Linked DNA regions of Cricetulus griseus. The protein of the gene in region 1 interacts with the protein of each later gene in a biochemical or structural test. Links are inferred from orthologs where the notes say so. Each region holds a gene or a part of one and is shown on either strand. Other genes may lie near its edges. The genes, in order: Gjd2 and Lnx2.

Region 1 (4,146 bases):
CCTCCCATCCCCCACCCCTAATAAACAGCACCAGTGCAATTTGAGTTAAAAAATTGGAAATATTGAGACATTCCTAAGGTTTTCATAATGACTAAGAGCCAGTCATATGGGGCTCTACTGCAAACCTCTGCCCTGGCCAGTCTCCAAAAAGCACCCCATGTAATTCCCTCTAGCTTGCAGATAAACTGTGTTAGGGCTAATGTAAGGCCAGATCAAGGAAACAGAAAAGCTGGCATGCTATCCTGGGTTTGAGGGAAAGGGGCATGCTGATGGGGGAGAAAGATCCTCAGGGATGTTTTTTCTGCAGCCCAGGATAAAGGGATGTGCTGAGATGGGTCACAAATTTTATATCAATGAGTATTTGACTCATGCCATTCACCAGAATACAGAGCTCAGCAGAGCTAAGTCTTGCTTGGCAGCTGTGCCAGTCCACTATTGTCAGAAGCAGGAAGGACCATTAAAGAGAAAGGCCCAAGGAAGTCCAGCTCAGTCACCTTGTCACTCTACCCAATTTGTCTCTGTAGAACGGATGGTGTAACATGATGACAGTTCTACCTTTTCTCTTTGTCGATGAAGACCCTTTAACATCTGTATCCTAGACCTTGACAGCGAGCATCACAAAAATGAGGGCAGATCTGTCTACCCTTGAGTCATCATCTGCCTTGAGGTTACTTGCCACCCAACAGGCCTTCCCCAAACCTGCTGTTTCACACATAGGCAGAGTCACTAGACTGAGTCCTGCCAAAATTTGGAACACTGACTCGAGGCAGGTCTTTGTTACGTATCTCATAGACCGACTTTCTCTTGGCCTGGGCTCCTCGGACAGCCAGTTTGATCTTCCGCCATCCCAGATGGTTAAGTTCAGCCAGGTTGAGCACCACACAAATGCCACTCACAGCAAACATAAACACCAGAAAGACTGTCTTCTCAGTAGGTCTAGACACATAACATTCCACCTCCTTGATGCAGGGGTATCGGTTACACTCATACAACCCTGGAACACTGAAGCCATAGAGAAAGTATTGGCCCACCAGAAACCCAATCTCCAGAGCATTTCGGAACACCACTTGAATGATGTAGAAGCGGGAGATACCTTCCTGTCTTCGGAGCTTGGACCTTGCTGCTGTGCGAAGCCCTGATGGGTGTGGAGTCAGCTCTTTAACCTCTAGGCAATCTGGTTCTGTCTCCTTGCTGGTGTTCTCTGTGTTCTGCAGCACCCCATTGACAATGGCATTTTGTAATTTCTTATCTTCTCGTTTGCTCCCGCCACTGCCCCCAACCCCAGTTCCTCCAGGTCCCCCTATAGACTCAGTGGGGTCTCTGTCCAGGGCAAGGAAGACAGTAGAGTACCGGCGTTCTCGCTGCTTGGCTGATTGGTGCACAGAATAGGTGATGAAACAGAGACTGGGGGTGCACACCATTATGATCTGGAAGACCCAGTAACGTATATGGGAGATGGGAAAGGCGCGGTCATAGCAGGCCTGGTTACAGCCGGGCTGCAGGGTGTTGCACACAAACATGGTCTGCTCATCATCGTACACCGTCTCCCCCACAATGGCCACAATGAGTATCCGGAAGATCACCACCACAGTCAACAGGATCCTGAGCAGAGGAAAAGGAGGGGGGAAGAGAGGTTCTCATAGGCTAAGTCACTGATGGGAAGTCCCTGATCTTTCCTGTTCCAATGTTTACCAGTCCTTGAACAGGGGAGCTGTCCACCCTTGAGTGGTACTGAACTGAGAGCCTAGAAAACAACTTTATGTTTTCCTTTTCTGCTTGGTGCTGGAAAGCTTGGAATACTTCATATTACAAGGATCTCACATCTGAACAATTTCATGCACTGTTTATGGTTCTTTTGCAATGTATATAGTTAATCTGTAGATGAAGAATGTCTACAGACTGCAAACATATCTTTACTCTGGCCAATGCATACAGAATCTTTTATAAAGGATCCTACCTGTGTAGTCCTATCCTAGTCTCAACATTTAGAACTGAATTGTCACTAGAAACAGTTATGAATACAAAATTCACATCTATATACATAAATAAATAACTGCAGGTAGTTATAAATATGAATAAATAAATATATATCCATCCACATGTGTATATATACATACATATAGATATCCACAAAAAGAAGCCAGCTATGTGTGTGGCTCTCTGGCATTAAGTTTTAACGGAGGACGGGGTCTAGCTTAATAAATTTCTGTTAAAGAATGATGCATCTGCTGTGATGAGCAAATCCATCTCCCCACTTGCCCTTCTCTGTCCAAATGCAATTCTGCCTTCCTTGTAGATTCTATTTAGGGAACCAGATGGAGATTGGCGCTGACTCTGGAGAGTAGGGGTACCAGGACTGAGTCCACGAGTCCTTTTCTGATAAGAGAAGCGTGAACCCCTTCCCCTTGTGGTGCTTTATAGAGAAAGTATGGGGGAGCTGGTCAGGAGTAACTGGAGGAGGGGGGCGTCACTGGGCTCCGGGTAATCCCTTAATGCAGGCAACACTGGCACTTGGACAGAGGATGGGGAGGAGGCAGAGGGCTGGTTGGGGGTTTGGGGGATCGTTAGAGACGGGAGAAGATATTCCCAAGGGCCGCCCGACGGGCCCGCTGACGTCTGGCTTGGTGCCCTTACCTCCCGATCATAGTGGAGTGCTGCTGCACCGCGGCTTCCAGCAGCCTCTCCAAGATGGTCCATTCCCCCATCGCTGTGCATCCGGAGGCAGCAGACAAAGACTGGGCAGTACCGGGCACGTTCCTGGTCCTGGCCCCTCCCCGGGCCGCACCTCCTGACCGAGAGCGAATTGCCCCCAATTAAAGAAGCAAACAAAAATGTTTTTTTTTTTTAAAAAAAAAAATCCACGAGCCCCTCCCCCTTTTATTGCACTTAAAAAAGGGGAGTAGGGGGAAAGCAATCTATGCGCGACCCGACCAATGGGGCTGTTGGCGCGGTGCGGAGGAGCTATCCAGCACCTCGCTGCCGTCCGGGGATCAGGTTGACTCCCGCAGTCTCCCGGCGAGGGGCGGGGCTGAGTGGCAGCGTGCAGGTGGCCGAGCTCCTGCCCGCCGGAGACCGGTCTCTGCGCCGCCTTCCCCGCGATCTTGCGGTCTGAGGGAGGGTCCGCGCACCGGCCCCAGTGCCTGTCACTGGAGCGGGCACCTGGCGCTCCCGCGCTGCTGCGGCGCGCAGAGCTGGCTGCGGGGCTGGGGAATCCGCGGCCACCGCCTCTAATCCGCCCTTAAGTAGTCTCCGCCTGCGTCACGCCAGGTCGGCGGAGGGGAGCAGAGCGCGGCGTGCCGCTGTCGCCCAGCGTCGGAGCCCGAGGGGCCGCGGCCGCGCTGCGGGGGGGAGGAGACGGTCTGGAGTCCCCCGCTGCGCCGGGGCTAGGGAGACCGAGGACTGCAGCGCCCCTCGGGGCTTCTGGGGCTCCCAGGTAACCTCACCTGCCCGCCGGCCTCCGGCAGGAGGAGCAGACACGTAGGTGAGTGAGGAGGGACCCGAGCAGGCAGTGTAGTTGCCCCCACCAGTCCCCAACCCCCGCCTGTCCCTCACCTTTAGCTTTGGGCCTTCTGAGACACCACTGAAATTCCTTTTCTAGATCGTGGTGCTGATTGGGGGAAGGGCTTTTTTTTAGCCCTTACCGGGAGAGGACAGCCTCCGACGAGAGTGCTGCAGAGGGTCCTGGCTTCGGTGGGTTGATCAGGTGCTGGAGTGAGACTCCCGGCTGGCTGACGCCTAAATGCGGGTGGGAAGGTGTTCTGAGCATGAAGATCTAGGTACAAAGTACTTGCCAACCAAACAGGTGCCTAGCAGCGAGCCAGTGGACTGGCCACGATGAGTTCTCATTTCTCCCTGCACAGATTAGGAGGCTGTGTTTTTATTTGCCCGTAGCCGATGGGAGTAGGGGGTACTTTCCAGGTTAGCACGGTCCAGCCCGAATTTAAGGAGACCCAGTATTTATCTAGCTGAAACAGCAGCTCACAATCTCACCCCACCCCCGACTCTCCTTATTCAGCCTTTGCTTTTCTCCCTCCCTCAATGAGTTTTCAAATTTACATTTTGTTGTCAGTTCCATCTACAGCACCTACTTAATTGGTCCCAGGAAAATTGAAACAATCACACCAAGCTGCTAATTAGCTTAGGGTC
Region 2 (4,293 bases), on another chromosome or scaffold:
GTAAGGAAACTAGTAAGTCAAAGGAAGTGAAAAGTTTAATAGGAGGAAGAATTTGGCGGTCAGAAAGAATTTACGAGCAGTCTGCAGAGCGGAGTTGCAGTAACTTTAGCCGACTTAACATGCCAGCACCGCCCGGTGCGTGACCTTACACGAGGCAGTTCTAATGGGGATGGCAGTTTGGCACTTAGAGCTGGATTCCCAACTTCTCTCCCCTCCAGGATGGCTAGTGTCCCTCTGAGCTTTTCTGTATAAACAAACCCACCACCGCTTCTCCTCCCTCTTCCCAACCCGCTCGGCTCTACTCTCGATCTTCCCTTGCCCAGCGCCTCGGGTCAGGCCTAGCCGCCCCGCCGGGCCGCAGTCGGCCGCGTGCCCGGTCGCTACCCGCTTCGCTGGCCCGGCCCGCCGCCCCCTCCACTCTTCCCCTCCAACCTTACCTCTCCAGCTCCTGATCCTCTTCCATCGCGAGGGGCGGCTCCAGGAAATCCTCAGGTGGTGCTGCCGAAAAGGACGCTCTTCCCCATATCGCGAAAGATGCGGGCGAAGCAGGAAGGAAGAAACCACCGACGGAAGAAGCGGATGACGGAAGGAGGGGGGCGGAGCCGCAGCGGCGCGGCAGGACCCGATGGAGGGGCGGGGCGAAAACAGAACACGCCCCAGCCACGCCCCGTGCGGGCCGGACCGCTCACCTGGAACTGCGGAAGCTAGGAGGCTACGGTGCAAGCAGTCCCTCGCCTGTCGCCCCCAGACACTGCTGTTTAGGGTCGGAGTTGAACCTCTCATCTGCTAGACCCACCAGGGACGGTACTGCCCCGGGACTGTCTTCCCCCCCCCGGACTGGAGTCCTTTGGAGCCTTTCGTAGGGCACCTTGCAACCTTGAAAAAGCAGAGAGACTTGTGTGCAGAGATGACTCTTCTGACCATACTGAGGTTTACAGGGAGCATTTTTCTCCCTGGGGTGCAAATGCACATCTCCATCAGGTGCAAGGCAGCGTTTGTCTTTCTTTTCGGAGAGAAGTATGAGTTTGGAGCACCGCCCTCCTTCCCCAGGAGCTCGGGTTTACCCACTGTGGACCTGCGGTTCCTTTCCCCTTTGATCCCAAGGAGCCGCCCTTCTCTTCCCCTCAGGTGCATCCTCCCAGTTCCCACCTGACCCTGGCCAGGCTGGGTCCCCGCCCCACCCCAGCTGTCCTCTAGCGCACACCTACACGTCAGCCACCCCGCACCACCTGTTCTCCCTCAGCCTGGTCCCGCAGCCCTCCCCTCCCTTCAGCTGTCCCACGGCCGGCGCGGCGCTCCGGGGTGCAAGCAGACACTTCCCGAGCGTCTTCTCTGTGTGTGTCTGAGAGAATCCGGCCGGGAGCGATGGCGGAGGGCGGAGCGTGCTCACTCTAACTCGGGAGTGATGAGCAGGGCCGGTCTGGCCCCTCGAGCTCCTTGATTGGCCGAAAGACTCAGAGCCCGCTCTTAGTCCCGCCTTTCTCCGCCGCTGATTGGCTCAGGTGCGTGTCGGGTTGGGCCCCTGCGCTCGCCCCCGAGGGGAAAGGCAGCAGGGGCGGTTGAGAAGTGAAGTCTTGGCCGGACTTTGCTTCTCGCCAGGAAATCGGCGGCGGTGAGTCCCGGCGGAGTGGAGCCGGGCGGCGTCCTCGTCAGCGCTCCTGCGAGGAGCCCGCCGCTTTCCCTGAGTGAGTTACTTCGCCTCAGGTGCGGGCGGTGACAGGGTGTGGCGCTGGGGTAAGGGGAACCGCCGGGGGCCGCGTGGAGTCCGGCCCGGCCCGGTGCGGGTGCGGGTTCCCGGCGCCGCGCTGCGGGTCTGCGCGACGCTCGCTTTTTAAAACGGGGAGCTCTGGGGACGAGTTCTTGCACTTCGCGTCTGCACGTTGTCGGGAGCTAAAGCAGCGCTAGCTGGCTGCCCTCTGGTTTTGTTCCCTGGAAGAGATGAGCAGAGATCCTTCTCCCCGCCCCAGCCTGTTGCGGGAGAATTCTCACCTTTCCCTTCAGGCTAGAGACAGATTTGACGTGTTTGGGGGAAGGGGAGGATCATTTCCAAAATATGCATCTCAGTTTGGAAGCATTTGCGCACAAAAGCACCGCTTGGGAAACATTTCTGGCTTTCCAAAGCTTTCTGCCACGTTTCACACAAGGACTTTTTAAATGGAGTATTGGAGTATTCCCGTTTACGTTTAAGATTGTGTGTTTGCCAGAAGCCTAAGGACGCTTCCGCATGGCTTTATCGAATTAATTTTTCTTTTCTCACTGTAGAGCCCTGTCTGGCCTGGAACTCACAGGATCCGCCTCCCTCTGCCTCCTGAGTGCTGTGGTGTTAGAAAGACATGCGCCCCTACACCCCGCCAATTTTTCTTAAAAAAAAAAAAAAAAAACAAAAAAAAAAAAACAAAAAAACGCAGAAACCAATGGCAAGGACAATTGGAGGAATCTGTGAGCTCTAGTTGATCCAAACTGCCTTCACTTTAAGAATGTCACATTCTTGTAGTCACAGTACTTAGAAATTGGCCTCCTTCCCAGGACACATTTTGCTTTTTCTCTAGCCTGTACAGTGACACAGCACAGATGAAGTTGGATCTCAGGAGGTCAATTCTGTTTGCTTTGGTAGATTTGAACACCCTCCCCCACACCTTTGGAGAAAAGGACTTTGACAGGTAAAGAAGGAAAGTGGAGGGGAATCTAGTGTCCTAGTTAGCTGTTGGATCCTTGTTGAGCTAACTAACAGTGTTTTGCCACTTTAGCCTGTCCAAATTCCACATGAGTTTTCCCATAGGAGTCAAATGTAGGCCAAGTCAGAACAGCACTAGAATCACATTGCTTTGTTTTCAGTCCACTGCTCAATTCTAATTCTGTATTTTGTTCCTCAAGTCTGAAACTTTTCATTGGATTTACATCTGGTATCTACATTGTTCCCTGGTGGAAAGAACAGGATCATTTCTTGCCTAAAGTTGCTAAGGGTCCATATACTTCTTGGTCCTCTAATTACCTCAGGGTATTTTGGACAAAGTGATGTGGGAACTTGGAAGCATTTCTGCCTAGAATGCATCAGAGAAACCACAGGCAATCTTCAAATTGGTATGGGCTTTCTCCAGGAGCATCCCAAATGCTTATGTCTATGGAATGTGACATTATCTGCTGTGCACATGGCTAGTCTGAAGAGCACAATGTTTGGGGTTGAAGTAATGGTCAGGGCTGATTTGTTGTTCATCTTAGGGTTCATGGCACTTTCCACAGGGCGTACTCAGATATTTGTTGAAATGATCAAAAGAAAGGATTTTGTATATCACATTAAGGCATTTGGACTTCATCCAGTTCGTGATATCGAGGTATTAATTTCAGGCAGGAAAATTCCATAAAGATAACTGCAGCTGGCTGGAGGATGGTGGTGGTCCAGATGAGAGGTGAGAGACAGACTGGGGGGCTCTACTATGTAGTCTCTGTGCATATAATCTGGCCTTGAGAAAGATTTTGTCACCCTCTGGACAGTCTCTTTGTTCTTTAGCATCTTTGTCTGGTAGGATTTGGAAACTTGAAAAAATAAAAAAACAAACATGGCTATGGCTTAGATTAGTGCTTGGTGATCAGTACGAACTTAGCCGGTGCTGGTTGTCAGTCTGAAGAAAGCTGGTGTGGCATTCAGGACGTAGGGCTACTAGATGAGTGACTAGATAGCATCAATGAAAGATGATTCCTGGCTTTTTGTTTGTTTTTAAGACTGGGTTTCACTGTGTAGCTCTAACTTGCCCAGGAACTCACTTTGTAGACCAGACAAAGATCTGCCTGCCTCTGCTTCCCGAGTGCTAGGATGAAAGATGTGTGCCACTACACCCTGTGGTTCCTCCTTTTTTTATTTTTTTTATTTATTTATTTTTTTTAATGGGGCATGGGTGTGGATGAATTTAGCTGCTCCTGGAAGCTGAAGAGGGTCAGGTTCTTTCAGATGACTTTAGAATTACTATTCCATCTGAGTTTTGATTCCCTACCATGAAGGAAATAGTCACAGTACCAGTTTAGTAAGGTTTGAGGATCAAGTGAAATTATGCATGTAATGCCCTTGACACAGTCTATGGTGCAGCCCAAGTGCTAGATAAATATTAGTTGTTCCTTTAATGACAATATTAGTGAGATAGTGGAATGTTAGAGGCTTGAGAAGGAACAGTTTCAAACACCTGGTAAAGTGAGAGAAAGGGAAGTGAAAGGAAGTTCAGCTCAGGATCAACCTTGTGAGGAGCTACATGCATGATTGGCTTGTCGCTGTGCGTGTTGGGATAGACATTGCCAAGAGAG

The links.
Region 2: the proteins of Gjd2 (region 1) and Lnx2 form a complex in vitro, tested with the Homo sapiens proteins (2 studies listed by BioGRID and IntAct, with this or other methods). The link is inferred for Cricetulus griseus from reciprocal best matches to the Homo sapiens genes GJD2 and LNX2.

Annotation. Positions count from the first base shown.
Region 1 is NC_048599.1:64,469,474-64,473,619, reverse strand, and holds Gjd2 (gap junction delta-2 protein), read right to left. Parts: upstream 2,706-4,146; coding exon 2,635-2,705; intron 1,603-2,634; coding exon 708-1,602; downstream 1-707. UniProt on the Homo sapiens protein: One gap junction consists of a cluster of closely packed pairs of transmembrane channels, the connexons, through which materials of low MW diffuse from one cell to a neighboring cell.
Region 2 is NC_048597.1:82,926,050-82,930,342, reverse strand, and holds the start of Lnx2 (ligand of Numb protein X 2), read left to right. Parts: upstream 1-1,368; 5' UTR 1,369-1,502; intron 1,503-1,529; exon of another isoform or gene 1,530-1,704; intron 1,705-4,293. Other genes in the region: protein POLR1D, read right to left, coding at 438-463; Polr1d (DNA-directed RNA polymerases I and III subunit RPAC2), read right to left, coding at 438-463.